Ovis aries: one gene and its partner. The protein of the gene in region 1 binds, or shares a complex with, the protein of each later gene. Links are inferred from orthologs where the notes say so. Each region holds a gene or a part of one and is shown on either strand. Other genes may lie near its edges. The genes, in order: KCNQ1 and KCNE3.

The links.
Region 2: the proteins of KCNQ1 (region 1) and KCNE3 are in contact, whole or in part, in a cryo-EM structure (PDB 6V01), measured with the Homo sapiens proteins. The link is inferred for Ovis aries from reciprocal best matches to the Homo sapiens genes KCNQ1 and KCNE3. Residues at the interface, in NP_000209.2 of Homo sapiens: Arg116, Pro117, Thr118, Gly119, Trp120, Cys122, Phe123, His126, Phe127, Phe130, Leu134, Leu137, Ile138, Val141, Leu142, Ile145, Gln147, Tyr148, Arg181, Met238, Val241, Asp242, Gln244, Thr247, Lys362, Asn365, Ile368; in NP_005463.1 of Homo sapiens: Asp54, Asp55, Asn56, Ser57, Tyr58, Ile61, Met65, Phe68, Ala69, Val72, Gly73, Leu75, Ile76, Leu77, Tyr79, Thr80, Arg81, Ser82, Arg83, Val85, Lys87, Asp90.

Annotation. Positions count from the first base shown.
Region 1 is NC_056074.1:45,404,856-45,418,808, forward strand, and holds part of KCNQ1 (potassium voltage-gated channel subfamily KQT member 1), read right to left. Parts: intron 7,133-13,953; coding exon 7,022-7,132; intron 6,766-7,021; coding exon 6,670-6,765; intron 4,796-6,669; coding exon 4,673-4,795; intron 3,780-4,672; coding exon 3,635-3,779; intron 1-3,634. UniProt on the Homo sapiens protein: Pore-forming subunit of the voltage-gated potassium (Kv) channel involved in the regulation of cardiomyocyte excitability and important in normal development and functions of myocardium, inner ear, stomach and colon.
Region 2 is NC_056068.1:52,521,378-52,536,020, forward strand, and holds the start of KCNE3 (potassium voltage-gated channel subfamily E member 3), read right to left. Parts: upstream 9,062-14,643; 5' UTR 8,908-9,061; coding exon 8,900-8,907; intron 7,467-8,899; exon of another isoform or gene 7,372-7,466; intron 652-7,371; exon of another isoform or gene 452-651; intron 325-451; exon of another isoform or gene 193-324; intron 1-192. UniProt on the Homo sapiens protein: Ancillary protein that functions as a regulatory subunit of the voltage-gated potassium (Kv) channel complex composed of pore-forming and potassium-conducting alpha subunits and of regulatory beta subunits.

The DNA of each region.
Region 1 (13,953 bases):
GAATGAAAGCGGTGGGCGCGCTCACACTCGCTCTTACAGGGCCCATGACACAGGTTGTCTGGGAAGCCCCACACCTATACACCAGCCGCACGCAGGTCCTGCTGTGATTCACTGGGTCGCCCCTCTAGACCAGTGTCCCCTTAACCAGAGTCCAGAGGAACCCACCGATACAAAACGTCCACAGTCGCCACCTCCGCCCACAGCCCCACGAGGAGCCGAGCATCAGAGAGGCCACTGCAAACAGAATAGGACTCTTCCATGAGCGCAGCTGATGGTGTTCCAGGACAGATAGGGTGGGATCAGCACATTTAAGGGGCTCAAAGCCGTGACGTCACACACGAGGAAGATACAGGATGCTAAGACCAAGCAGATGAGACCCTCACGTGAGGACACACGGGAGAGAAAGAACAGGTGGAAACTGAGACACGGGTGAGGGGCTGGGAGACCAGACAGCGGTCGCTGAGGGCACAGGGACAGGCGGCGGCAGATTCGGCGAGGAGCGCTGCCCGGGAGGGTCGCGCAGACACTTCCAGGAGAGACCAGGCCAGTCAGGGCAGGCGGCAGCCTGTGACCCGGCAGGGCCAATCTTCCCCTCGATGAAAGACGCAAACCCTCAGAGTCAGGGGTCACAGCACCTCATCATGAAACTACAGAACACCAAAGTCAAAGAGAAGGGGTTTAAGGTCATCAGAAGAGAGGATGGGTCGCCTACAGAAGATGGCCAGCTCAAGAGGGCACACCAGCTGGGAGCTGGCGGCGGACTTCCAGCCTCCTACAGTGGAGAAGAATATGACAGAGAATCTATATCCATGTATAACTGACTCTCTTGTTGTGTGCCTGGTACATTGTACATCAACTGTGTTTCAATTTAAAAATTTTTGTTTACTTAAAGAAAATACAGATCTCAACCTGTATGGTTCTAGCAAGCTGGACCATGGTTCAAGAGCAAAAGTGAAATACAGAAATCTCAGACAAGCGGAAACCGAGTAGGCCGTCGACAGACGGTCCCGGAAGACAGCACCGGCTTCAGGAAGAAGGAAATTCAACTCCAACTGAGACACAGACAACTGGCCAATCTGTCAGCAAATACGAGCCTCCACTGTCAACAAAGAGCCGCTACTGCCGAGGACGGGCTACAAAGTCAAAATGCAAACATGGCGCGGCAGGCCACAAAGCAGGAGGTGCTGGCGTGAGAGCCCATCCAGCCCGCCGCTCGCTGCTCAGGGAGGTGGAGGCACAGGAGGCAGGCAGCCAGGCCCTGGCCAGTTCCGGGCGGGGCTCACATGGCCTCCACGCCTGGGAAGGCAAGAGGCTGGACTCAGCAGGGGGAGACAGCGTGAGCGGAAGCCGAAACCCCTGGAGCAGGCAAGGCCTCTGTGTGTCGCTGCGGTCCTTCCACAGAACAGGCACGTGGGCTCCCGCCCTTCATTCTCTGAAATTCTGTCTGAAGTCCTTGTGATGGGAGCAGATAGCTCTGTTCACCCAGAGACTTCACGCTGCCCCCAGCTCTGCCGATACCCGGGGAACCCCCGAGGCTGCAGGTCCCCCCTCCAGCTGGTTTCTGCCTCCTCTCCCCATCCCCCCACCACGACACTGCAAGCTCCCAGCTGACCTGCCCCCAAGTCCTGCCCACGGGTCCTGACCAAGTCCTGCTCGCCGCTCCACAGGTGCCACCCCAGGAAATCCCGCAGGGCACAAGTCCTGCCCGCCGCTCCACGGGTGCCACCCCAGGAAATCCCGCAGGGCACAAGTCCTGCCCACCGCTCCATGGGTGCCACCCCAGGAAATCCCGCAGGGCACAGGGCTGACTGTGGCCGCTCCTGCTCCACGGCCTTCTGCCATCTGGCCCGCCCAGCACCTGCGGGCTCCGGTCACAACTCAGGCCCAGGGCCACCAGCCTGGCCAAGGTCACAGATGGGAAGAGACCCCGCACGTGGGGAGCCCACAGCAAGGAGGCGGGGGAGCCGTGGGAAAAGCCACGCCCAGGTCGCCATGGAGAGGAGCAGCCAGCCCCTGAACACCTCTGTCCAAGACAGTCCTACTGCTTGCCAGGCCCTTCCTTGGCCCTGCAGACGGGGCCACCACCCGGGGATTAGAGCAGATTCGACAGGGCGGCCGTGCCTAGGGCCCCGGGGTCCCAGAGCCACAGGACAGGAGCCCAAGCAGCCGCCAGCTGGAGACAGAGAGCCCTGCCTACGGCGGGGAGAGGCATGCGAGGGGACGCTCTGTGGGCAGCGCGGCAGGCAGGTAACACCCTGGGCGGGCTGGCGCCGTGGGCAGGGCTGGGGGTGCGTGCTGCTGGCAGGCGCTGTGTGTGGAGCAGAGAGGTTCAAGTCAGGGTCCAGCGTGGAAGTGGGGTGCAGCCTAGCGGGTGGTGCCCAGTATTGGGAGTGGGGCTGTGGGCCTGTCCCTGTGACAGCGTCTACCCCGGCGGCGCACCCCTGCTCCCACCCCAGGGCTCCCCAGAGCCGCCAGGCGGGCGCGTCAGGGATCCCTCGGGCGGGGGCATTCTGCATCCCTGGGGCCCGGCCGACAGCTCAGGCTCTAGAAATCCGGCGGGTCTGGGCTGGGCAGACTTATCTCATTGGCAGGGAAGGAGAAAGCCCTCCTTGCGAGGCCATTCCACAGAAAGCGCCTGACTCCCGGCCCTGGCCCCTCATTAACATTCCGCAGGCAGCACGGAGGACTCCACAACGCCGCATGGGCTGAATGGACGCCGCGTTTCGGGGGCTCCCTGTTCAGCCAACAGCGAGCATGGCTCCGCCCTGTGCCGACCTGAGCATTAGCATTCGCAGAAAGCCCCCATCTGCAAGGCAACAATGGTCCTGCCCCAGATCCGGATGGCGGGCACAATCGTCCTTTGTGCCCACGGCAGTGGGCAGGCGGGTGGCGCATCCCAGGGGCCCGACAGTATGTGAGGAGACCCCGGGCACCCAGGCTGGGTCTTGCACACCCAGCTTCCCAAAGAGGAAGCCCACAGACAGCCTCAGGAGCGCCAAGGGGCCGTGGCTCCTCCCAGAGCACCCCCCGCCCTCCACAGGCTGTGCCCAGACACGGAGGATGCGTCACGGGCTAGCCATCCACAAACCTGGCAGATGGGGCGCCAGGCACCCACCAGCACCACACGGGCTCGGCCCCCTCAGCCACGCCTGAGGCAGTGGCACCGCCCTCAGCCCCTGACACACTGGCACATCCAGGTGCTGGCCGGAACCCTGGGGGTCCCGGGAAGAGGGGAGAGGCGGACACGGAGGAGACAGAGAGCAGAGGCGCAGAGCTGAGCAGGGGCCAGCCGCGGGCGCACACAGGCTGGCTTAGGACCCTCAGCCCCACTCCCCCGGGACAGGGGTCCACGTGAACCATTGGCCCCTCCTCTCTGCCAGGCCTGGGCGCCAGGCATATAGCACGGCCGAGGCAGGGCCTGGCTCCCAGAAACCCAGAGCCCAGTGCAGAACAGGGCAGGACTTCCACGAGCGACGGGCCCGCTCTGACGGAGCAGGCGTGGCAGTGCCAGCTGTCCCCAGGACGAGAGCAACTGGCCGGGGACGTGAGGCTGCCCCGACCCCCCAGGCCCCGGCAGCCCTGCTCAGAGCTGAGGGAGGGCCTGCCCCCTCCACTGCAAGCGGGGGCTCCTCACCAGCGCTGTCGTAGCCGTCTACCGAGATGGGTTCGGGCCTGCGGTCCTCCAACACGGGCTCGCAGGTGATGTGGGGGACCGAAAGTGCCTTCTCTCCTGGGCTCACACCATTGTCCTTGTCCAGTTTGAACTTTTTCTTCTTTACCTAGAAAACCAGACGAGAGGAAGTGGTCAGGTCCTGGGCGTCCCCTGCCGGGGCCCTCTGCTGACCCCCGACCACCGGTGGCAACACCCTCTGGGCACCTGCCAGGGCCGGGCTCCGGGACTCTCGCACACTGGCAGGGGGTGCTGCAGCGTGGGGTGCTGCCAGCGGCCCCCTGGGAGCTCACAGCCTTGGGGGCAGGCAGACAGAAACTAGAAACAGCAAGCAGACAGGAACGCCCCAGGGCAGGGGACAATGCGGGCTGTGGCCAGCGGGGCTGAGAGCGTGGGGCAGCGGGGTGCACAGGCTGAGGGCCAGAGGGCGCGCCTCTGAGGTGGTGACTGGGAGGAAGTGAGCGAGCCAGCCCCGCTGGGGTCTGGGAGAAGTGCTGGCAGAGGAAACGGCGGGTGCAGAGGCTTCGCAGGCAGCCAGCGCCTGGGAGACCGCATCTCTCCAGGGCGGTGTGGGTGCGGGCCGGAGGGAGGCCGCTGCTGGGCCGGTCACCCTGCACTCTCGGGACTCACGCCCAAGCCTGCCTCAGCTCCCTTATACCGAGACCCCCAAGGCCCTCTTCTCTGAGCCAGGCAGCCACGGCCACCCTGCCGCTCACCTGCCCGGCACAGACAGCCCAACACCCAGGCCCTGTGGAGAACACCCCGCCGGCAGGGCAGGCCAGGATCCAGCCGGGCCTCTCCCCATGGTGCTTCCTCTGGACCTGCCCAGTGCTGGCCTTGGTGTGGCCAGTCCCGGGGCCAGACCTGGGCCACTTGGATGGTGGGAGCCCAGCACGGCGCACACTGCCAGTGCCCATGCCGACGTGGCTACACTGGACTGAAGGATCAGGGACAAATCCTGACCGTGACGTGGCCTCCCCCCAATTGCAACACGGCAGTTACCATGGCTGACTTCTTGGGCTTGGGGCTGGGGGACAGCAGGGCGTGGTTCCGGGATGGCTTCCGGACATAGATCTTCCAGGTGGAGGAATCTGGGTTCTCCGCTGCGTAGCACCGCCAGGCTGTCTGAAACCAGCGGGAGGGGCAGCCGTTACCCGCAGGCCCACGCTAACTGCAGCCACACTGCCTGCTGGGCCCCTCTGCTGCCTGAGCCTCAGGGCCTCTTGCCCACCAGCCCCTTCCTGAGGCTCGGGGTCCGCCCTCACCTCCCCAGGCGGTGCACACGCTCAGACAGCACAAAGCCTGTGAACCCCAGTCCCTCTGTGTCCACCCCCAGGGACGCCGTGGTGGGGCACTCACAGGGAGCGCCAAGGGGCAGGGCCTCGGGCCGGCAGAAGCAGGACTGAGTGCCCAGGAGGCAGCGCCACCCACCAGGAACCCCCAGTTTCTGGGAACCTCCAGATGGCATGTGGGTGAAGGTCTCAGGCCTAGAGACACCCCTGGCAGCTGCCACGCTGGGTGACCTGGAGGAAAGGGGTTGTTGGGGATGAGGAGGGCAGCCAGGAGCTCGTAGGAGGACGCACCCTGATGGCCTCAGCACTGCTGGCCGCGGGAGCCAGGGAGACGCGGTAGGGACACGCTCCTGGGCAGTGATGCCCCTGCAACCGGAGCCGGGTGCCACGCCCCGGCCCCCCAGGCAGGGGTGGACTTCCAGCTGCCCCTCACCCCCCTCCAGGCCTCTCCCGTCTCCTGGGAGGTGTGCGCGAGGCTGCACACCCACCGCTCGGGGAGTCCACTAACCCAGCCCTGCAGGCAGGCCATTTGCTGCCTGATTTACGGTCTCCCCGAGAGAGGCTGTGGGGCCAGAAAACCAGCTGCAGGGCCCGAGCCCCCGGCCCGAGGGCCGCTGCCTCCACTTCCTTCCTGTCCAGGGTTAGCATCCAGCCCCAGACGGTGGTTCCGGACAGGCTCCAGAGGGACAGAGCAGAGGCCCCCCGCTGAGCTGCAGCTGCCGCTGCAGCCCCTGGGGCCCTTCAGCTCTGGGGGCCCAGGCCACCCTGGTGGGCACAGGGGCCCGAGTCCAGGCTGACATAAGACGACGGCCCTGCTCCCGGCCCCCGCCAGGCCACGCTGCCTACAGCCCCAGGCGCTCCTGCGGCTCCCAGGCTCTGGGTGGACACTCGGGACGCCACAGTCTGCCAGTGGTCCCTGTGCCCAGGCTTCACTGGCGCTGAGAGGCCTGCCCCACGCTCCAGGCTGTCCTTGGAGCCCACATCCAGGGGCTTAGGGCCGCCTGCCTCTGGGACCTGCCTCTCCCCACTTCTGTTGGGCTTGGAGTCTTGTCACAGAAGCCTGAGGTGGGGGCTACAAGGGGCCTTGGGGCAGTTGCAGCCCCCGACCCACCCCCAAAGGCCCGGCGCTCTGAGCCCCGGCCCTGTGGGGACGCAAGCCTCTGGGAGGTAAAGGTAGGCCCAGAAAGTGGCCCGCGCTCTTGGGTTAGCCGGGAGGACTGAGGCCCTGACTGCTGCACAGGCAGGCCCTGACCCCCTGGGGGACGGCCCCCTGCTGACTCCCGCCCCCCTCCCAGACCTGCCCCCACGCAGAAGAGGCTGAGGACAGACACTCAGGGGGCCGCTGCGGCCGGAGGCCACAGGTCCAGAGGAGTGGGCACAGCGGGAGTGGCCAGGCCGCCTCCTCATCCCCGAGCCTGGCCCACAGGACAGGGGCAGCTGGGCTCCCCAGCACCGTGCCTCCCACCAGCCGGCAGGCATCATCCCACAACTCCCGGGACAGGGGTTACACTGGGCAGGCGAGTCCGTGCCGTGGCCTGCCGCCCTTCCACCCTTCAGAGGGTCCATGGGCGAGGGTCCAGCTGCACTGGGGGCCGAGGGCCACGCCCGGCTCCCCGAGCAGACATGTGTGTGTTCCCCTGCCCTTGCCCTGCCTGGTGGGCCGGTGGCCAGACGCCCTTGCCGAGGCCACGGGGGCGGGGCCGCCACCTGGATGAGCGAGGCTGCCGCCGGGATCTGCCTGTTGAAGTGCTTCTGTCTCTGCTTCTGCTGGACCTTCAGGGCGAAGCCGGAGCCGAGAATCCCCTGGAAGGACAGAAGGCAGGCTCACGCCCTGCAGATGCGGGAGCGGGCAGCAGGCGCGCTGGGCGCCCTGGGCCCGGCTCCGCGCTGCAGGCCCCGCAGACCAGGCCAGTGCCTCCAGAGAGCCTGCGCCTGGCGAGCAAGCTGGGGGTCTGAGTGGGCCACCTCTGGGTGTCTGCTCACAGGGTGGCCACCACCCCCACCAGCCTCCAGAGCGGAGGGGCCGTGGAGACGCCGCACCAACCCTGAGCACACCTACCGCCGGGAGCGCAAAGAAGGAGATGGCGAAGACGGAGAAGCAGGAGGCGATGGTCTTCCCCACCCACGTCTGCGGCACCTTGTCCCCGTAGCCGATGGTGGTGACCGTGACCTGTGGGCAGGAGGACAGCAGGCGGCGGTCAGCCCCAGAACCTCAGGACGGGCGTCCGTCCAGCCAGAAGCCCCTCCACCCGAGACCTGCTGCGTGCAGAGGCCAGGGAGAGAGCCCTGCACCGATGGGCTGGGCAGCTCGGAGGCCAGAGCCCCAGCCCACAGGGTCTGGAGCCCAAACTTAATGCTGCAAAGGAAGCAAGTTCACGGCGTGTGCACGGGAGCTCGGCCTCCCTACACCACCCCCGCCCCGTGCCAAGGAGGCCCACCACCCAGGAGGCCAGGAGCCCCCCCACCCCTGAGGCCCACCCTCCACAGAGAGCCTGGCCACAGATGGCATGCTGCTTCCAGATGCCAGCCCAGGCACCAGATGCTCTACGTGCCCTTTTTTCTGGGAGAACCAGATGAGCGGTCTTCTCCATGGGGGTAGGGGGCTGTCCATCCAAGGCATGTGCTGGGACAGCGGGGTGGGGGCTGCTGCCCCTCGTGTCCCCCATCCCGCTGCAGGCTCGCCTGCTGCTGGCATCTGAGGCTGGCTCCCAGGGCCTCGGGACTCATCCTGGCTGTGCCTGCCGGCGCCAGAGCCTGGGCCGTGGACTGCCTTCTTGGTTTTTGAGGACTCAGCTCTGAGCCTGGCAAGGGACCCATGGTGCCCAGAGCCCCAGCTCGTCCCATCAGCACACGCACCCAGCCCTGTGACGGGTGGCTGGGCCTCCCCTAAGTCAGACCCCCTGAGCTAGGCTGCTCCATGAGCTCTGCAGAAGGGTCCGCACGTGTCCACACAGATGGAGACCAGCATAGTTGTCCACATGGAGACGGGTACACGCAACGGCTTGGAAGCCCAGGGCAGAGGCAAGAGGCCCCGGGAAGCAAGAGTGACCGAGAGTCTGGGCTCAGGGGTTGGGTGAGGACCGCAGTGTGGGAGGCCAGGTGTCCCCCACCCCCTGGTGCAAGGCACGCTCTGGGCTCCTCAGACCCTGTCACAGACCTCCTTTGTCAAGTTAACGACATCCTTCCAGCTCTCGGAGGAAACGGCCCATCCCCGCAGAGCTGTTTGTTTTTCCTGAATTCACAGACACAAGCAGCTTAGGAATGGGCTGTTTACAGCCTGTGTGCTCGCCCCCGATGGCAGGCGATCTGGAATGCCGAGCTGCACGTCCCCTGGGCACAGACCCGGGGAGGCGCCTCGGCCGGGGTCTCTCCTCTGGGGCTGGAGACCCCAGAGGGCCTGCCCGTCCCCCCAAAACACAGCACGGTGTCACTCCATTTCCTCTTTTCTAAAGCCGCCTCCTGGATGCCAGCGGGCTGTGGGGGAAGCAGAAGGCCCAGCTTAGGAGCCCGGCTCCACTGGGGACGTGGTCAGCCTGCCGCCACCCCACAGACCATGGCCATTTGTCCAGGGCGGGAAGGGGCGGCCAGGAGCGGGGGCGAGGACAGAAGCGGGCCCACGGTGCTCAGACCAGGGGTGCAGCGTGGTCCAGCCAACGTGCAGCCGCACCGTGAGCTCCAGACCATCTGACGGGGTCTCACCACTGCTGGATGAGCGGGCTGGCACCAAACCAGGGGTGTACATCCCTGGCTCCTTGCTGTGATGTCGGGGTAGGGGGGGCAGAGGACAAACCCAAGGCCAGAGGCTGCTGCGCTGGGGGTCCAGGCCTCGCCCAGCCTCAGGGAGGAGGCTGGAAAGATGCAATCAGGGAGAGGATGGCCCTGGGGGAGGAGAGGTGCAGAGAGAGGGGCTGGGGGAGCGGCAGGACTGTCTCAGAGAGGCAAAAGGTAGGTGCAGTGGTCCCGAGGCCCAGCGCCGGTCAATGTGGGGCTACCCCCAGAGACCCCAACCTGTCTTGGGGGGACGGCGGCCAGCATGTGAGGAGCCCACCCAGCCAGGCTTGCAAACTCGAGCTGAAAACAAAAGCAAATGCATAGCCCCAAACAAGCCCGCTTCCCTTCTGAGGGAAGTCATATATAAACGCACAGAGGCCCACGCAGGCCCAGGGCTCCTCATCACGCGAGCACCCCTTCTCCCTCCCAGAAACCAGCCTGTGATCACCATGGCCGAGAAGGCGCAGGGGTTGGGGCGCCGTGGGGCCAGCACTGCAAGGGTGGAGGCAGGTCCTCTCTCCCTCCTTTGGGGGCACAAGGGAGCCCCACACAGCCCCTGGCAGGATGCCGTGAACCCTTGGGCCCTGCCCAGGCCACATCCACCCCTCGGCGGGGCCAGGCCCACAGCCCCTCAGCAGAGGCCCTGGACTCTGCCCCGGGCACCCAGCATAGACATCTCCTCCTCAGCGGCCCTTCCTGCCTCCCGGGGATCACGGTATGAGGACCACAGCTGACTGCAACAAACCACGGCCATCCGCAACCAAGTCTCCGAGCGCGTGCGGCCCGGGCGGCTGACCCCTGCAGGCCCCAGTTGCCCCACACACACACTGCCCCAGGGACGTGCTGGTGGGAGAACCAGCCGGGTCAAGAGGCCCTGTCATCCAAGGGACTTCTCTGAAGCAGTGGGAAAAAGGGCCTCCTTCCTGGGATCATGGCCTCTCAGGGAGCTGGCCCTCAGAGGCAGATTTGCTGCCACCTCATTTTACAGATGGGGAAACTGAAAAGGTCACAGCTCTGCCCTGGCCCCAGGGCTGGCTGCCTGGTGTGCCCGGGGCCACCCGCACCTGCTGCCAGCCTTGAGGGGTCAGGAAGGACCCGCACGCTTAGGGGCATAAACACACACAGGCATACGCGACGTGTGGTCTGCGGGGAGTGGGACCCTCAGGACCAGCAGGGCTGAGGGGCGTGATGGACCTCGGCGGCCACGGACACTCGAGTGTGAATCAGCTGGGGACAGTCACTGCCTGGCATCCGGCTTGTGGGGCCGCCAGGAGAACCTTGAGCAGTAACGGTCCCTGAAATGCACAACCAGCCTTTGCTGAGCCCTCACTGGGCACCAGGGGCTCAAACTGTAAAAAATCTGCCTGCAATGCAGGAGACCCGGGTTCAATCCCTGGGTCGGGAAGGTCCCCTTGAGAAGGAAATGGCAACCCCCTCCAGTATTCTCGCCTGGAGAAATCCAAGGACAGAGGAGCCTGGTGGGCTACAGTTCACTGGGTCACAAAGAGTCAAGCACGACTGAGCGACTCAACCACACCCTGGGCACCGCAGGCTCTCCGAGCTCTCGCTGACAGCCCTCCACCCGCTCTCGGAAGTGGGCACCCACCTTACACCCAGCGCAGCCCAGGGTCACTCGGCAGGTCAGCGTGGCTCCACCCCAGTTCCTGGCAGGGTCACCCCACTGCTTCCTGTTTGCCTGTCTTCCTGATGCTGACCATGCTTCTTTCACTCGAGCTGAAGCCGGAAAGTTCTTTCTCCAGATGACAAGGGCTGAACCCCACCCCAGAGGAAACCAGGCCTGAACACCACCCTCACTGGGCCTGCCGAGTCCACATAAGAAACCATCCCGGACAGTAAGGACGGAGAGACAGACCTGCCCTGTGGACCCCTACTCATCCCGCAAAATCCAGCCGTGAAGACCCTTCTCTGGCTGAGCTCTCAGCGCCCACGGTCTCAGTCGCATACGTGACCGACGACAGGTGCAGGAGGGACTCAGAGCTGGCGGTGGCCTGGGGTCCTGGGGACCCTCCCATCAAAGCTGCAGCGCACTCTCACCTTTGCACGGAGTCCAGGCAGGGGAGGAGCCCTGGATGCTGCGGGGGGTAGGCGTGGCCCACTGCCCCCTGGGCCCAGTTCCCCAACTCCAGATGAGAGCCTGACATGGGCCCCCACACTGGGCGCTATCGACAGACCTTGCCTGTGAATGCCTGGGGGCCCTGTCCTCACCCAGCCCCCCATGCGGCCCCCAGACCCGTTGGCCTCACCCGGCCAGGACACAGTCCGGCCAGGACACAGTCCGGCCTGGGAAGTAGAACTTTCTGGAGCCAAGGAACTGGAGTCAGACTCAGTTTTAAACGGCGGTGGAACGCAGGGCGGCTTCCACCCTTTTCACTCCCAATTCTAAATTTAGATGCAGGGGTAAACAGAGCCTGGCAACCTCCGGATCTTAGAGACCCCCGGGCGCTAAACAGAGAAGCCCGTGTTTGCAAAAGCTGCTTTTCCCTCCACTCAAACTTTAATACAAACAAACGCATTTTGTTCCAAGGGCAGAGAAGAAAGTCTTAAATCCTCCCCGACACCTCAGCAGCCAGGCATGGGGCGCCACACTGGGAGGGGGTGGGGAGCTCTCACCCCCGTGTTGGCGCCCCACCCAGGGCGGGAGGAGTGGAGGCGACCCCGGCCTGGAAACCGAGGCTCAGTGAGCAGAGGGACCAACTGGTGAGCCCACCTGGGACAGTGCTGTCCGCGGCAGAGGAGCGTCCCCCAGCGTCCATGTGCCCCTGGGCCCTCGGAACACAGGCCTGTTTGGAAAAAGGGTCTTTGTCGATGCGACTGGGTTAATGACCTTTAGAGGAGACGGTCCTGAGCTCCCGAGTGGGCCCTGCACCCGCCGACCGGCGTCCCCACAGGAGACAGAAGGTGCGGCCACAGGCCCCGGAGTACCTGGGCCTCCGAGGCTGGGAGAGGCAGGAAGGACCCTCCCCCGGAGATTCAGGAGGCAGCCAGCCTCAGTCTCGATTTCCGGTCTCCAGAGGCGAGAGCAAGCACCGTGCTGGTGGTTCACCTGGCTGTGGGCGCCCCGTGGGCCCCAGGCAGAACCGACCGCTTCCCAGGCGCATCCAACCATCCGGCCAAGCCTGGTGCTGAGGGTGCCGGGGCACCTTCAGGCTGCCCAGTGGGTCCACACGCGGCCCTGGCAGGCTTCCCCCAGCCCGCTCCTACACCCGGCTCTGCAGAGAAAGCGCAGCGCAGGGCCCGTCCCACGGCCCAGACACCCAACCGCAGGGTCTCTCTCCCGCGTCCAGCCAGAGGAGCTGGTCTGGTGCGATGCCGTGTGCCCCTGGGGGGCAGCCTAACTGGTCAGCAGGCCTTGCCACGTGTGCCAGGTCCCCGAGAGCAGCACAGCCTGAAGGCAGGCCCTGGGCCGTCCACCCCCGGTGGGGAGCCTCAGGGTGCGAGCTGGGCTCACTGCCCTGGTGGCCCATGGCAATGCCACACAGGGGGAGGGCCGTCTGGCCCCAAAGCCCCCCGCGGGCGGTCCCGCTTGCATGTCCTGATTGCTTGTCCAGGACCTGCCAGGGGCACAGCCCAAACTTGAGCCCGGCCTGCTCCGCCCGCCTGAACAGCTGCAGGGGCGCCACCACTGCAAATGGGGGTCGTCTGCCCAGAGCCGGGCAGCGGGGGCGCTGAGCCCGCAGGAACAATGGCCAGGCTGGGCCTGCGGCGGCCAGGCCGGGGCCGCAGCTGACGGCGAGGCCGGGGCACCGGTGCCAAGCTGGGCACAAAGGGGCCATTTTCCCGGCTGGCGGGCGGATGTTTGCACAGGTGTGTGCGCGGGAGCAGGGCTCACAGGGGCCAGGCTGGGGGCAGCTCTGAGGGAGAGGCCAGGAAGACGGGCGGGCAGGGAGGCCGGGGCCGGGCACTGCTTACCAGCTGAGCCCCCCCACTGCGCCGTCTGGCCCTGGGGATCCTCACGGCCCCGGGTTGTGTGTCCCTCCACAGGCCCTGCCTATTACCAGAAAGTGACCCCTCCCCTGCTGGAGCAGGGGACGAGGTGCCCTCCCTCCAAACCTGCTGGGGGGCCAGCCACACCCCGGCCCGCAGGCGGCATCAGAGCAGGTCAGCATGTCCTCACCTTCCTGGGGCAGCCTGGCAATGTTGGAAGCTTCCAGAAAAAAAATGCTGACTTGGCCAACATGAGGAGCCCCAGCCTCGGCCTCTCAAGGGTGGGGATGGAGACGTGAGCAACTTCCTGCCCCACCCGGAGCAGTAGGGACAGGCCTCTCCCCGGAGGGTGGGGGCCCTGAGCAGAGGCTGACTCCCCCACCCCGCCACCATTCTGAAAGGAAACAGGTCGGAGGTGGACACGGTCGGGGCCCAGCTCAGCCTGGACCTGCGGTTCTGTGGAGCCGGCGCTGCCCCCAGGCCTCAGCCCCACCCCGTGGGTGCAGCCTGCAACCCCCTCCTCTCCCAGGCTGAGCGGGCCTGGATGTCAGCCACCCAGCCCCTGACTCAAAGGGGCTCCATCAGCTACCCTTGCCCTTGGGCATCTCATACCCGGGCTGGCATCATGTGCTCTGTGGCTTGGGCTGCTCTGGGTGCTCCCGGGCACTGGGCCCCCTAGACGCTCCTGGGCACTGGGTCCAGTGCACCCTGAGGAGGAGGGAGGAGGGCCAAGCCCGGCTGATGCCCCAGAGATGGCGCCACTCTCCCGCCTGCCCTCCACAGCCAGGGTCTGTCCAGGCCACCAGGACCCCACACATGCTGCTCCCAGGCCAGTAAGCTGCTGACCACTCTGTGACTGAAGGAGAGCCTAGGATCTGTCTTCCCACAAGGCCCAAGTGGAGGGTTGTTGAGGGGCATCCTCTGCGCCCTGAGGTCCCACGCCAGTGACGCTGGGTTCCTGTTATGACCAGGCCCCAGGGTGGGGTAAGGCACAGCTCAGATACCCTGGCCCTGGCTGAGGCACCCGCAGCCACCCACGGCCAGGCCAAGCGCCACCCCTGCCCCCCAGAGCAGAACCCGGGGTCCCTGCATTCTGCCCCAGCCGTGGCCAGCGGCAGACACGCGGGCCGGGTGCCCTGTCAGGATGGGGGAGCTCGCTGCTTTCTCCCGAGGCCCCCGGCCTGGTGTGGTGGGCTCTGGCAGCCACCTGATGATGAGCTCCTGAGTGCAGGGACACTGAGGGGCCTGGCGCTGAGCCTCACAGAGGTGGGCCTT
Region 2 (14,643 bases), on another chromosome or scaffold:
GAAGCAGACACTGGGGCTTTTGACCGCTAAAGCATCCTAGGTCCCACTCTAGGTATTCATAGCTATTAAGAGGAAATTCTGTCGGAAAACAGGTGGCTGGGGAAGCAGGGAGGGGCTGAAACCATTGCAGGCACTGGGCCTGAGGGGAGTGGAGTGAAAGGAGCACTCAGTCTGGTTTGGGGTTTTACCTACCTCAGATAAAAAGACACTGGCCACCTCCACTACTCTGCCTTCCGGAACAACATCACTGTGTGTGTACGTGGCTCAGATATCCTTAGTCTATGGCTTAGAAAAACTGCCAAAGACAACCTTGCATCCTAGTCTCTGAAAAAACACATGTCATTCCTTTTAAACAAGGCTCCACACGCACTTCCTTCAGGAAGCGTTTGTGCACTCCCACCACAATCCACAAGCTTTATCATCACAGCCTTCCCTTTGCCCCAGCACTTACATATGAGGCAATGTGAGGCTGTCCTCTTGTTACTGATAAGGGTTATCAGCAGCCACATGCTCCTGGTCGGCAAGGCGGGGACTACCTTAGCTCTCCTTCCCTTGGTGGTCTCCAGTAAAAATGGCCACTTTGGATTTTTCACGGGCCAAGCACTCAGTGTTCACTGAACATTGGTTCCAACTCTTTTTTCTAAGGTAGTGCTGTCAACCAAAGTTAACACACTTGACTATTAACCATAAGGTCTTTTCCCCAGAAAAGTTGACAGTTAGTTATGTTCATAAGAAATATTCATGAATAATGCTATGAATATAGATGTTGGGGGGAAGAATCTAAGTAATACAGCAATAACCCAGGACTGGCTCACATTTTGTGCAAGGCGTTTGGGGCCCTCTGCCATCTAGAACTTGGACAACCTTGTCTGGATGGAGGAGGGAAGAGTTAAGATCCGGGAGGCATAAGTTCTCATGTACTATCCCACTTACCAGGCAAGAAATTTGTGCCTTCGTGTTTCCTCATATGGGCTAATGAGAAGCAGGAGCAGCACAATGAGACAAATGGCTCAATGAATCATCTGGCCAGTCATCACTAATGGGGCTCACTCTTGGGAGGCTCACCCTGGGAGTTCCAGGAGACCAGTCCCTACACATAGGGCACATCACCAGTTCTTAATGTAGGAGACAACCTAGGAGGTACTGGGGCTTAAAGCAAGAAGGGATGAATTCTGATCGGTGCTTGGAAAGTGTTCACAGCAATGGAAGAATTTGACCTGGACCTTGAAGAATCTTTTGGAAGTAGAAGAGGCAAGGGGAGGAAACAGATGGATAGAGGCATAACAAGAAAGCATGTTTTAAAGAATGAAAAGTAGCAAAAAGAGCATAATATGTCTGGAAGGATACGATGTGGGGTGGAGATGCTGGTCCAAACCAGATCAGGGAGGGCCTTGAGTACCAGACTACAGAGTTGGAACTTTATCATGTAGGTGGAGAAGAACCACAGAATGACATTTTAAAGGTGGGGTTAAATGATCAGATCTGTACTTGGAAAGGACTCTCTGGCTGCCATGTGGAGTGTGGAGTGAAAGGGGCAAGAATGGAGGCAGGGAGCTACATGACAGGTGAAATAGTCTAGGTTTAAGATGCTGAGACATGAGCTGAGCTGGAGGGGATATAAAGGTGGGGGCAGGGACAGATGGAAGATGTGAGGGGCACTTGAGGGAGGGGATGGCTAGTGTAATGGTTGCAGGAAGAAGGGGCCTCAGATAGTTTTATAGGCAGACAACAGACAGATAGCATAAATGCTAGAGGAACTCACTTTGAGTAAAATAAGTTTCTTGCCCTGTTTGCGCTTCAGTTTCCTCATCTATCAAAAAAGATTATCACCAGGAATTGTGGTTCAATGGGTAGAGTTTCAGTTTTGCAAGATGAAAAAGATCTAGAGGTCTGTTTCATAACAATGAACACTACTGAGATGGTTGAGATGATAACATTTACATTGCTTTTTTTTTTTTAACCACATTAAAAATCTCATTAATTAGAAAGAAGAAGATTATTATCTTTGCTCTGCCCCCTCTTCAGGCTTGCTTGAGCATATACATTTATTATGGTGAAGAGGAGTTTTAAAACACATTTTAATTTAAAAAAAAAGACCACGGCTTTCATTAAAATGAAAATCTACTTGTTGTTTTTGTGAAGTAAATACATATACACAATGAAAAACGGAAGCAGTATGCAAGACGAAAATGCAGTCTCTCTGTTTCCAGTGGCCCAGGTTTCCTTCCCAGGGCAGATAGTGTCACCACCTCCCTTAGATATCCTTGTGAGGGGGCTTGAACGGACAGGGCAGGTGGAGGGCCACCTCCCCCGGGAAGGCTTATGGAACAGCGGGCAAATTCACTGGCTCCTCGTCAGCTCCAGGAATCTCCCTGTGGGTGCCCCAAGGCTCCTTAGCTCTGCAGCCTCTTCAGGATGTCCCTGGACACATCTGAGGTCTCAGCATGTGTTAGGGGAAGCACACTGACTGGAACCGCCCACCCTGGCCAGGCGCCATAGTAACTATTTGCATGAGTTGTTTTAGGATAGGAGATCCTGGTAATGAACATGGAACTAATAAGCCTCCACCAACAGGAAGAGTTCGGGAAAGGTCCAAAGGAGACACCACATGTCTGACCACCTCCCAGAATCCTTCTCTCTGGTATCCACATTGGCTGAACAAGGTGTGCACCACCTGGAAGGACTCTGAGTCAGAATGATTGGCTAAAGACAACCCGGAAACTAATCCCATCACCATAAGCCGAGACTGCAAGCTACGTGACAGAGCTGTTCTCCTGGGTTCCCTTACCCTTCTGCTCTTCACCTGGGTGCCCTTTCCCAGTAAAATCTCTTGCTTTGTCAGCAGATGTATCTCCTCGGACAATTCATTTCCGAGTGTTAGACAAGAGCCCAGTTTCAGGCGGCCCTGGAAGGGGTCCCTTTTCCTGCAACACATGGACTTTGGAAGCTGGGAAGGCCCAGACCTGGGGGCGGGGGCGGCTGGGGGACAGAAAAGGAAGGAACCAGACACACAGGAAAAAACCCCTCAGAACCACGGTGGATCGCCTAAGGCCAAGCCCCAAGAATTGTGCAATAACTTTACTGTGGGTGATCACTCCCTCCCACTTCCCCTCCCCTTCCTGCAGCAGCGGGATCAGGCCAGCCTAGGGTTGTAGTTAAGGGAACTGTGCCATGACCAAGGGACCCCTGATTGCTGTCCCCCAACACCAGGTTCACAATGTCTCAACTGGGTGACTTCATGAGAAACCTCAGTTCAACACATGAGCTGCTGCTCAGGGATCAGCTAACAGTGCAGTCTAAAACATCCCCTTTTGGGTTTAAGAAACACTGGTCCAGTGTTTAAGAATCCACCCTGCAATGCAAGGGATGTGGGTTCTATCCCTGGTTGGGGAACTAAGATCCCACATGCCTCAGAGCAACTAAGCCCACTTGATGCGACAACTGAGCCTGTGTGCCTCAACTAGAGAGTCCATGTGCCGCAATGAAAGAGAAACTGTGCTCCAGGCAATTGTGCTCCATGGAGACCCCTAGTGCCACAACGAAGACCTGATGCAGTCTAATAAATAAATAAAATTAAAACATTCCCTTTCCCTGAGTACTGACATCTCATTACGAGTCTCTAAAAGGCTGAAAGGACCTGAGACCCAAGGAAATGAGGTGAGTGGCAGAATGGCGGCCAGAACTGGGTTGCTGTTTTACATAGGAAAAAACCATGTTACCAATCTGCCTATTTGGATAGACTGGGTATAAACACAGGCATGACATCAATGCTGTAGCATAGCTTTGTTGTGAAAATTAAAGGGGAAAATGAGGGAGTGCATGGCACTAGACATGCCACAGATGTGGTGGTGGTTTTATTTGTGCAGAGCAGAGGCTGGCAGGGGCTTCAGAGTCCATCTAGCTAACCTCCCTCATTTTACAGTGAAAGAAATGAAAACCAAAGAGCTGTCTTGATTCAGTTGCTACTTGTGTGACTTTGGGTATGTGACTTCCCTTTTCTGGGCCCCAGCTCCTGTGTGTATCTGTAAAATGAACGGGTTTTACTGTGTGATTCTGTAAGGTCCCGATCTAACATCCCATGAAGATACCATAAAACCACACTGTGAGATTTGGGAGACTGGGTAGGCTGGTGGGAGAGGATTTGGGGGCTCTCTAGAGTCCCACAGATGACAAGATAGAGAAGACTGCAGACTTTTTCCTCCAAGGTTAAGACTCTTCAGAGTCCCAGGACTGTTATATTTAATATTCCAGCCCAGATAAACTGAAGGCCAAATCTGTTGACTTGTTCATTTTTCCTCTTTATAGCTCACCTGCCAGTGAGATCTAGCCTGGGGAGACAGACTCTGTCTGTTAGAAAGTGGGGTTAGGGGGAAAGCATGGAGGACAGGGTGGGTTCTGAGGCAGGGTTCAATGAGGAAAGTAAAGGTTCACAAAACCATTCATTCCTCAGACTTTCTTCCAGCTCCTCTCTGGACACACTGGTTGGATATTTGTGGTTCTGATGGAGGGCGCAAAAGAGCCATAGTCGCATGTCTTTAGAAGTTGAGTTGAAGGCAATGGCACCCCACTCCAGTACTCTTGCCTGGAAAATCCCATGGACGGAGGATCTTGGTAGCCTGCAGTCCATGGGGTCGCTAAGAGTCAGACACGACTAAGCAACTTCACTTTCACTTTTAACTTTCATGTATTGGAGAAGGAAATGGCAACCCACTCCAATTTTCTTGCCTGGAGAATCCCAGGGACAGGGGAGCCTGGTGGGCTGCTGTCAATGGGGTCACACAAAGTCAGACACGACTGAAGCAACTTAGCAGCAGAAGCTGGGTTGAGGTGGGAGGGAGGGCCTGTGTGCAAGGACATCCTGTGGCTTCAGGAGAGGCAGAGAGCTCTTAAAGGGACAGCTTGGTTCTCTATGGACCAAGCTCTTGGTTTCTCTTGGACCACAAGAGAAGTCCCTCTCACCAGTTGTAACTGAGGATCCAATAAAGGCAGAAGTTGGTGACTTTGGGAGGAGTTAACCTTCCCTGGTGGCTCAGATGGTAAAGAATCTGTCTGCAGCGGAAGAGACCAAGGTTTGATCCCTGGGTCGGAAAGATCCCCTGGAGAAGGGAATAAACTACCCACTCCAGTATTCTTGCCTGGAGAATTCCATGGACAGAGGAGCCTGGCGGGCTACAGTCCATGAGGTCACAAAGAGTCAGACACGACTGAGTGACTAACACTTCACCTTACTTTACAGTCTTGTCTCCCACGGTCTTTTCTGCTCCAGATGTACTTCTGCCCCCATACAAACCAAGTGCACCCTCTTCCTCCACACCCTGGTGCTACTCTTCCCTGCACATTAACAGATTCACCCAATGTGTTCTTGACTTCATTTTGCCTGACCTGTTTCTTGGGAGTGGAGGCATAAAGCTGTGACCTGAAGGATAAATTGGGTATCTTAGTGAGGTTTTCTTTCAGGTTTCTCTGGGGAAAAGTAAAACTCCACTATTGGTTCTTTTGGTTTCCCTACTGCTCTGTTTTAGCTATTCTTCAAGAAAGAGTGTCTGAAGTGCTTGGAAGTGTAGTAGAAAGGCATGGGAAAGCAGTCACATAAAGCAGGTAGGGAATCCAAAGATAACTCCTGGGACTGCAAATTTTGCCTCTGGCCTGCCTGGTGGTCTTATCACCACCATGGGCTGGTGTGAAAGGAAGCTTAACATACAGTTAGAAGGAGACAAAGAAATAGAATCTGAGCTGGAAGGGATCTTAACAATCATGTCATTGGTGTAACCCCCTCATTCAACCAGTGGGAAAAACCATGCACTTTCCCCGCCCGCCCCCCAACCGCCAAGAGGAAGTCACTTGTTCAAGGTCTCATAGCCTGGGAACTGGGACGAAAAACAGTTATCTCCGTATCTTTTCACTGTAAGTTCTCTGTTCTCTATAAGATAGTCTAACCTCTGCTGATTATCATTCAAGCTCCTTTAGATATGACCCTGCCTCCAGCCTCATCTCACTGCAGCTCTCCCCATTGCCCATGCCCCATGATACTGAGCTACAGGCCATTCTCCAAACATTCCTTGCATTTTGCCCCCTCTTGCTTTTGCTCATGATGTTTGCTAAGGCAGAAATGCCCATCCTCTTTTTATCTGCCTGGCAAACTCCCACACATTCTTCAAGACCCACTCCAATGTCACCTGGGTAGACCCTCTCCTGAGACATCCTCTTCTCCACTCCCTAGCCAGTTAAGTCTCTTCCTCTTGTCTGTTCCTGAAGGGCTTTGCATAAAATCCTATTAGAGCACTATACTATACTGATATTGGGGGTGTATACTGATATTGGGGGTGTAGAAATATAAATAGATATAGATGTATATGCTAAACTGTGAGCTGGGAAGGGTGAGGGGAGGGACCTGTGCCTCATACGTTTCTTTATAGTAGGCACTCAAGAACACATGGATAAATACCTCTTCTTATTAGACTAGTCCCTCCTGCACACACAAATACACATTCATGAAAGCACTTACAAAGCAAGTTCAAGGGCAGGCGGAAATAGATTCCTTTTGGTCATGGGAAGGGAAAGCTCAAAGAAAAGACACTATCTTGGTCAGGTGGGGAAGCGAGGTTGGGGAGGAGGCATTCTAAGCCGCCTTTAGAAGCACAGATTTCCCTGCACCTGAACCCCATTCAATCCAAAGGGCAAACATTCTTGGCCTGGAACACCAGCAGCGGCTTTGCAACCCTCTTCCCTGTGTACCTACCCAGGGTGTGGCTACACACACCCACCTGCTGCACACACACAGTCCAAATCCCAGTCTCCCAGCCTCTAATCTTGCCTTTCAAGTGCGCCTTTCATGGTTCCAATCTCGGCTGTCTGCTTGGCTGTGTGACCTTGAGCACTGCATTTATTTCCTCTGAATCTCATCTATGAGATGGGGATAATTATCCACCCCCCAACTTGCCTCACACCGCAATTTGGAGAGAGACCATGGGGGAAAAGTGTTTTAGAAATTGCAAGGACTTCCCTGGTGGTCCAGTGGCTAAGACTCAATGCAGATGGCCCCAGATGGATACCTGATAGGGGAACTAGATCCCACGTGTTGAAACTAAGAGTTCCCACTTGCTGCAACTAAGACCTGGTACAGTCAAATAAATAAATATTTAGAAAACAAGAAAAAAAGAAATTGCAACATATCATATAAACATTAGAGAGAATTACTGGGCAGCCGGTCACTTTGTTTTCTTTTCTGTTTCCCTACCTACCTCCCCTACCCTGCCTCCCAGTTTTACCAAGAACAGCCAACTCTATGTCTCCTCTCCCCTCCCTTCCTTCTCTTAGCCTCAGAGAAAGCCAGGAGGTTCTTTATTATTCTTGATTCTCAGATACACTTACCTCTTTCAGAAATAAAGAGTATCTTTCTTGTTTCTCATCCTTTCTGATCAGCCCTGTAATCTCTCTCCATTTAGGGGTACTATTCTGTAGTCCTGCTGGTGATAGAGAACACAATGGAATTGGAGTCAAGAGACTCGTTCTGTTTTGTAGGTGTGTCTAGCCGTGTGTCTTGGTTAAGTCATTTCTTCACTCTGGACCTCATTCTCCCCATCAGTAAGATGGGCTTTCTTGTCTTGCTACCCTCTTAGTCGTAATTTGGAGCATTCACCTATTCAATTTATAGGTAGAAAGGTGCTTTGCAAAGCGTGGACTGAGAAAGGAATGAAGAAGTTTGTTTGCTATCATCTCAAGGAATCAAGAAAATCTGAAAGCAGTTTCCTTGCCTCCAGTATGGCTCTCCCCCACTTAGAGCCAACAACTGGTTGGATACCAGAAGATAAGGAGCAGCTAACACATCTTCAATGCACTCTTGTGGCTGAAGGGGCTTCCCTGGTGACTCAGTGGTGAAGAGTCTGCCTGGTACTGCAGGAGACACAGGTTCAATGCCTGGTTAGGGAAGATTCCCCTGGAGAAGGATATGGGGTATTCTTCACTCCAGTATTCTTGCCTGGAAAATCCCACAGATAGAGGAGCCTGGCAGGCTCCAGTCCACGAGGTTGCAAAAGAGTTGGACATAGTGACTGAACAACAGCAGCTTGTTGAAGCGGAGTCAGCCCTGAGATAGGAGTGAGGAGAATTGAGTTCTACTTCTGTCTGTGACCCTGGGCAAGCCATCTCCTCTCTGGACCTGTTTCCCCATAGGCAAACTGTTGATAAGTGGGAAGAGGGGATAGGAGGAGATACTGCTCCACGAGCCCTCACAAAAGGGACTGAACTCCTGTACTTTCTACAGCAGAGACTCTCGGGTCCAGTCCCCCTTCCCCACAGGCCATGCGGAGTACATGGGCGGCAGGAACGGGAGGCTCATCTTACAGGTGGTAACCCAAGAGGAGAAGGCACAAGGCATAGAGCAGGTAGGTGGGCGATTGGCACAGCTTTACACAAGCTGTAAACTAGAACGCAAGTCTCCTGACCCCCAGCCTAGATCTATGTTATTAGCGCTGGAATATGGCTAAGGGGGCCCCAAGGCTTCTCCCGGGACTGGGGCGCCTAGGACGAGAAACACAGCGAAGTGGCGAACTGGCAAGTCCACTCGCAGAGCAAGCGGCTCCCGCCCAGCGAGAAGACTCGCGTGTGCGCTCGCGGCTGAGCCGCAGGTGCTCCCTCGCACATCTGTGGATGTAGAAGGAGCTTTGGTGCCGCCCTCCCGGAGCCCGTGAGTGCCGATCCAAACCCCCAGATTTCCGGCCAAGGCGTGCCGGGGGCCCAGCCTCGCCACGTGCGCCCCGGGATTCCTGTGGCTGGGTTCCTGGAGAGGAGGGGTCTGTACCCGAGCTGCCCCCAAGGTCGGGTCACCGGCCTCCAGGGAGACGGTCGGATCGCTCATTTCTATCCCCGGCTCCAGCTCGGCCTTCCGAGTGCGTCTTACCTGCCCATCTGTAAGGCTCCCAGAGCGCAGTCTGTTGGACTCTTCGCCCTGGGCTCGCGGGTGCCCTCACTGCGCCCCAAGGCGCTCCGCCAGCCCCTCGGCTCGCAGTCCGCGCCCAGCTCTGCCTGCGCCCCCTCTGCTTCGCTCTCCGACCCGCTCTCTGAGCTCTTTTCCCTCCCCCCGGGCGTCCCCACCCCCGGCCCCGCCCGGCCCCTAACCCACCCACTTCTCCTCCGCGAGCTGGCTTTGGGCACCTCCGCCCAGCTGCTTGGCCCCACAGCTCTATGGGTTCCGACCCTTCCGTCCCCTGCAGCGCCTGCTTCCTGGACCAGAGACCGACTGTTTTCTTGCTTCACGACGGCTTGCCCGGTCTGAGGAGGCAGAGAGCCGGGTGCTGGTGGAATCCGACTCTACTCCTCCGTGATTGTGTGGTGGTGGTCAAGTCACTGCTCCTCACTGAGCCGCGGCTTCCTCGCAGTAAAATGGGTACAATTCTTGCATGCATTCTTCACAGGACGATGGTTAGGATCCGAGATCTTAGAATCCAAAATGCTAAACCCAGATGGTCACTGGAGAATCATCTGATTTTAACACAAACCCTCTTTTCCAGACAGGATACAGTTTGGGTAAGGGGCCCAGTTTGGGAAAGGGGACTGTCCCAGGCTCACCAAGGAAGTTGCTGGCAGAGCTCAGACTCAAAATCCACTAGGCCACTCTTCTCCCCTTAACCACTGTCTCCTCCAAGTCTCAGCAGTCCCTCACATACGCAGACAACTGGTGTCCAGACACGTCTCACTGCTCCCTATCCTGCACACTGTGTGCTTTCTGGCCATCAGGCCCTCACTCAAGCTGTTGCTTCCTTACTGTAGACACTGCAGGTTCCAAAGAAAAGAAGACGCCAGGGACAATTGGGAAATGAGGGCCAGGAGGCCTGGCAATGGAGCGGACGGTGGCAGGGAGTAGACTCTCAGGGACTCTGTGGGAAGTCCGCATCAGGGACCTCTTTGCCAGCCTACGGCCTTGGAATAGTTATTAACAAACTGAGGTCAGCTCTGACTCCTGTGCAAAGAAAACTCTGTCCTGGGACATCTGAAGCATATACCCTCAATCACAGAACCTCAGATTTTACCTAAGAAGTGCTATCATTCAAAAAAGGCCTATCCCATGGAGGGAATGTTGTACAAAATTGTACAAAATCTTCATCAAAACACTACTTCTGTGTGACTTCTGTAGTTTCATATTTTGACCCAGCTACTTCTTTTTCTCAGACTGTATATCATCTCTCAGAGAAATCCCTTAGCAGGCAGTCTCAGATTTCAGTCTACTTAAGAATCCCCTCAGCCCTTATTTTAAGTGAAGTAGACTTTTGGGTTCCACTTCAGAGTTTCTGATTCAGGAGATCTGGAATAGAGCCCAGAAATTAGTTGTTCTTTTTTTTTAAAGAAAGCTTCCGGAAAGATTGTGATGTAAATGGTTCTTGAGACCAGCCTTGAGGAAACAAGCCCTGCCTCAGTAAGCCTTCCTTCCCACATCCTGCCAAGGCCTTGCATCTAATCTATAGGACTATTTATTACAGTTATCAAAAGTAACTATTTGTCTTCCTCATCTACTAGGTTGTGAGTTCTTTGAAAATAGGGACTGTTTCTTGTCCTAATAAAATTCTGGAGTCACAGCCTTAGAATCATACCATGTTAGAATTCTAGAATCATTTAGTAATAGAACCTAAGTTGAAAGGACTCAGAGTTATCTAGTCAAATCTCTTACCCAAGAATTCCCCCAAAATATTCATTGGAAGGACTGACACTGAAGCTGAAACTCTAATACTTTGGCCCCCTGATTGGAAAAGACCCTGATACTGGGAAAGATTGAAAGCAGGAGGAGGAGGAGGGGAATGACAGAGGATAAGATGGTTGGATGGCATTACTGATACGATGGACATGAGTCTGAGGAAGCTCTGGGAGCTGGTGATGGACAGGGAAGCCTGGTGTGCTATAGTCGATGGGGTTGTAAAGAGTCAGACATGACTGAGTGACTGAACTGAACTGAATTGAAGAATTCCCCTACATTTCTTTGTATCTGTGTGTATGTGTTAAGTTGTGTTGTGTGTATCTGTGTGTATGTAATAGAGATTTTATTGCTTGTTAATTGTGTCATTTCATACAATTTTAATTAAACAAACTTAGAAAATGTACTGGGAGTGTTAAATAGATGATGGCACTATTGATGAGATTGTTCAACTGTTTTACATAAGATAGTAAAGAGGCACCACTGCCACCATCACCACCCTGCTGAAACTTGTACATTTCATGTAAAAAAAAAGAGTAAAAATAGTAGATTTGCATTTCACTAGCATTATTTTTTGTAATCTATGAACCATAATAAGCCTGAACAATTTCAGAATCTTCAAAGCAAAACAAACCATTTTCTTCCACTAGCAAATGTATTAGTTTCAATTTCTTTAAAAAGAAAAAAAAAACACAGCAAACAAATCAAAATATCCCAATGGTCCTGAATTTTAATGTTTCTATCATACTAATTTAAGAAATGTGACTCAGTTTTCAAACATGAAGCTGATCTTCTTTATTGTAATTATACTTCATAATTCAAACGATTTAACTGATGCCAACATTAGCCCAGTAAAATTCATGGACACAGCTCAATTGCTCTTTTGCTAAGGAAACTTTTTAATAACAGCTATTCTTTAAAAACTCAGACCCAAGCTGCACAGCTGTGACTTGATGAACCAACAAGCAACTCTCCCAGATACCACCGCAGTAGTCCTATGTGTTTTTTTTAGCTGGGGAGTGCATACAGAATCCCTGTGAATCACACGTATATATTAAAAACTTCCTGGTAAAACTACACCAATAGTTTCCCCTATGAATGATTTTTTTTTAAGTAAGTATATACTACAGTTCAGCATTTTGAGAGACTTCTGTGTCTTTTATTACAAAGGTACTGCTATTGCTGCTGCTAAGTCGCTTCAGTCATGTCCGACTCTGTGCAACCCCATAGACAGCAGCCCACCAGGCTCCCCTGCCCTGGGATTCTCCAGGCAAGAATACTGGAGTGGGTTGCCATTTCCTTCTCCAACGCATGGAAGTGAAAAGTGAAAGTGAAGGCACTCAGTTGTGTTAGCTCTTAGCTACCCCATGGACTGCAGCCTACCAGGCTCCTCTGTCCATGGGATTTTCCAGGCAAGAGTACTGGAGTGGGGTGCCATTGCCTTCTCTGACAAAGGTACTAAGAAATACTTTTGTTTTTTTCTTTTGGTTCTTTAAAACTTTTAATGTATTTGTTTATTTATTTTGGCTGCACTGGGTCTTGTTGATGTGCACAGGCTTTCTCTAGTTGCGGTGTGAGGGCTTCTCATTGTGGTGGCTACATTGGAAGGAATGATGTTGAAGCTGAAACTCCAATATTTTAGCCACCTGATGCGAAGAGCTGACTCATTTGAAAAGACCCTGATGCTGGGAAAGATTGAGGGCAGGAGGAGAAGGGCACGACAGAGGATGAGATGGTTGGATGGCATCACCGACTCAACGGACGTGGGTTTGGGTGGACTCTGGGAGTTGGTGATGGACAGGGAGGCCTGGCGTGCTGCAGTTCATGAGGTTGCAAAGAGTCGGACACGACTGAGCGACTGAACTGAGCTGAACTGAACTGAACTCTTGTTGCAGAGCATGGACTCTAGGCGCCTGGGCTTCAGTAGTTGCTTTGTGTGGGCCCTGTAGATATGTGAATGGGCTTTGTTGCTCAGAGGTATGTGGGAATCTTCCCAGACCGGGGATCAGACCCACTTCCCCTGCCTTGACAGGGGGATTCTGAACCACTGGACCACCAGGGAAATCCCTGAGAATACATTTGGATACTTGAAAAGAAGCAAGACTGCGAATGTGGTTTTGTGTTAAAAAATTTAGAAGACCTCAGTTACCAAACAACTAAAAACATACAACAGATAAATAGGAATTTCTTAAAACCATGGTCTCTAATAATACAAAAATTAGATATAAGGCATCTATCTGCAGCAAAGAGAAATATTTTAAATAGGAACCAGCACTTCTATTCAAATACTTTCTGATGCATTTGGCAGATTTGTTTTTATATTCTCCTGTTCAAAATTCCATGGAAAGCTCTCATAATTGAACATTGTGACCCAAACCAAGAGAAAAGTATCAATATAAACAGTTTCTCATTTATTATAAAGAAGCAGTTTGCCCTTGAAAAGAAAAAGGAACTACAAAGAATATTATGTATAAAGTACAAATACTAGTATTTAAGTTTCTCTGAAGCAATTTATGCTTCAGTAATTAAGAGAAAGAAGTGATGAAGACTTTATTAAGATGCTGCTGCTGCTAAGTCACTTCAGTTGTGTCCAACTCTGTGCGACCCCATAGACGGCAGCCCACCAGGCTCCCTCATAAGATGAGGAGCCTATTAGCATGCATCACGCTGTGGGCTAATTGCTCACTCATTATTCTGTTCCACTGGAGTGAGAGTTTGAAAACAGCGTTATATTTCTCTAGAAAAAATTACATCCACTAGACTAAGATCACATAAGTTAACAATGATTATTATTCCCTATATTTGTCATTTAAAAAGCTCAAATGGCTTCATAAAGTATATCAATCAATAACATTTTTACCTTTTATTAAGGCAAGTTTGTGAAAATAATTTAATACAACCAGATATCCTCATGACTTTCAGCTTAAAATATTTTTAATGTAAGAAATAAACCAACAAAATCTGTTTTATAAAAAGCCACTTCAGTCCTAAAAAAGAATAATAAAAGATTTTGAACGCAATTTAGTTTTTAAAGGATACTCTTCCCATGTCTCAAATTCCTAGTGCCATTCATCATCTGTAGAGCCAGTTTTGTTTGACTCAGTTCAGTTCATTTCAGTCACTCAGTCGTGTTCAGCTCTTTGCGACCCCATGAACTGCAGCACACCCGGCCTCCCTGTCCATCACAAACTCCCAGAGTTTACTCAAACTCATGTCCATTGAGTCAGTGATGCCATCCAACCATCTCATCCTCTATCGTCCCCTTCTCCTCCCGCCTTCAATCTTTCCTAGCATAAGGGTCTTTTCCAAGGAGTCAGTTCTTCCCCTCAGGTGGCCAAAGTATTGGGAGTTTCAGCTTCAACATCCCTTCCAATGAATATTCAGGACTGATTTCCCTTAGGATGGACTGGTTGAATCTCCTTGCTGTCCAAGGGACTCTCAAGAGTCTTCTCCAGCACCACGGTTCAAAAACATCAATTCTTCAGCACTCAGCTTTCTTTATAGTCCAACTCTCACATCCATACATGACTACTGGGAAAACCATACCTTTGACTAGACAGACCTTTGTTGGTAAAGTAATGTCTCTGCTTTTCAATATGCTGTCTAGGTTGGTCATAACTTTTCTTCCTATATCAATCCAATTCCATCCTTGAGGAAGTTCTCCTTTATGGTTTATCTGTTAATTTATGTTTCTGGTCTTCTGTTTTTTAGTCACTGTTTTTTTGAAATTGAGATATACTTGATTTACAATGTTGTACTAATTTCAGCTGTATAGCAAAGTGACTCAGTTATTCACATATGTACATTCTTTTTTATTTATTTTTATTTTTTTATTAGAAAACTATAAGGGCATATTATGCAACACAAGTAGGAAATTTTTTTTTAAATTTTTTTTTTTTAGTTTTTATTTTTTAATTTTAAAATCTTTAATTCTTACATGCGCTCCCAAACATGAACCC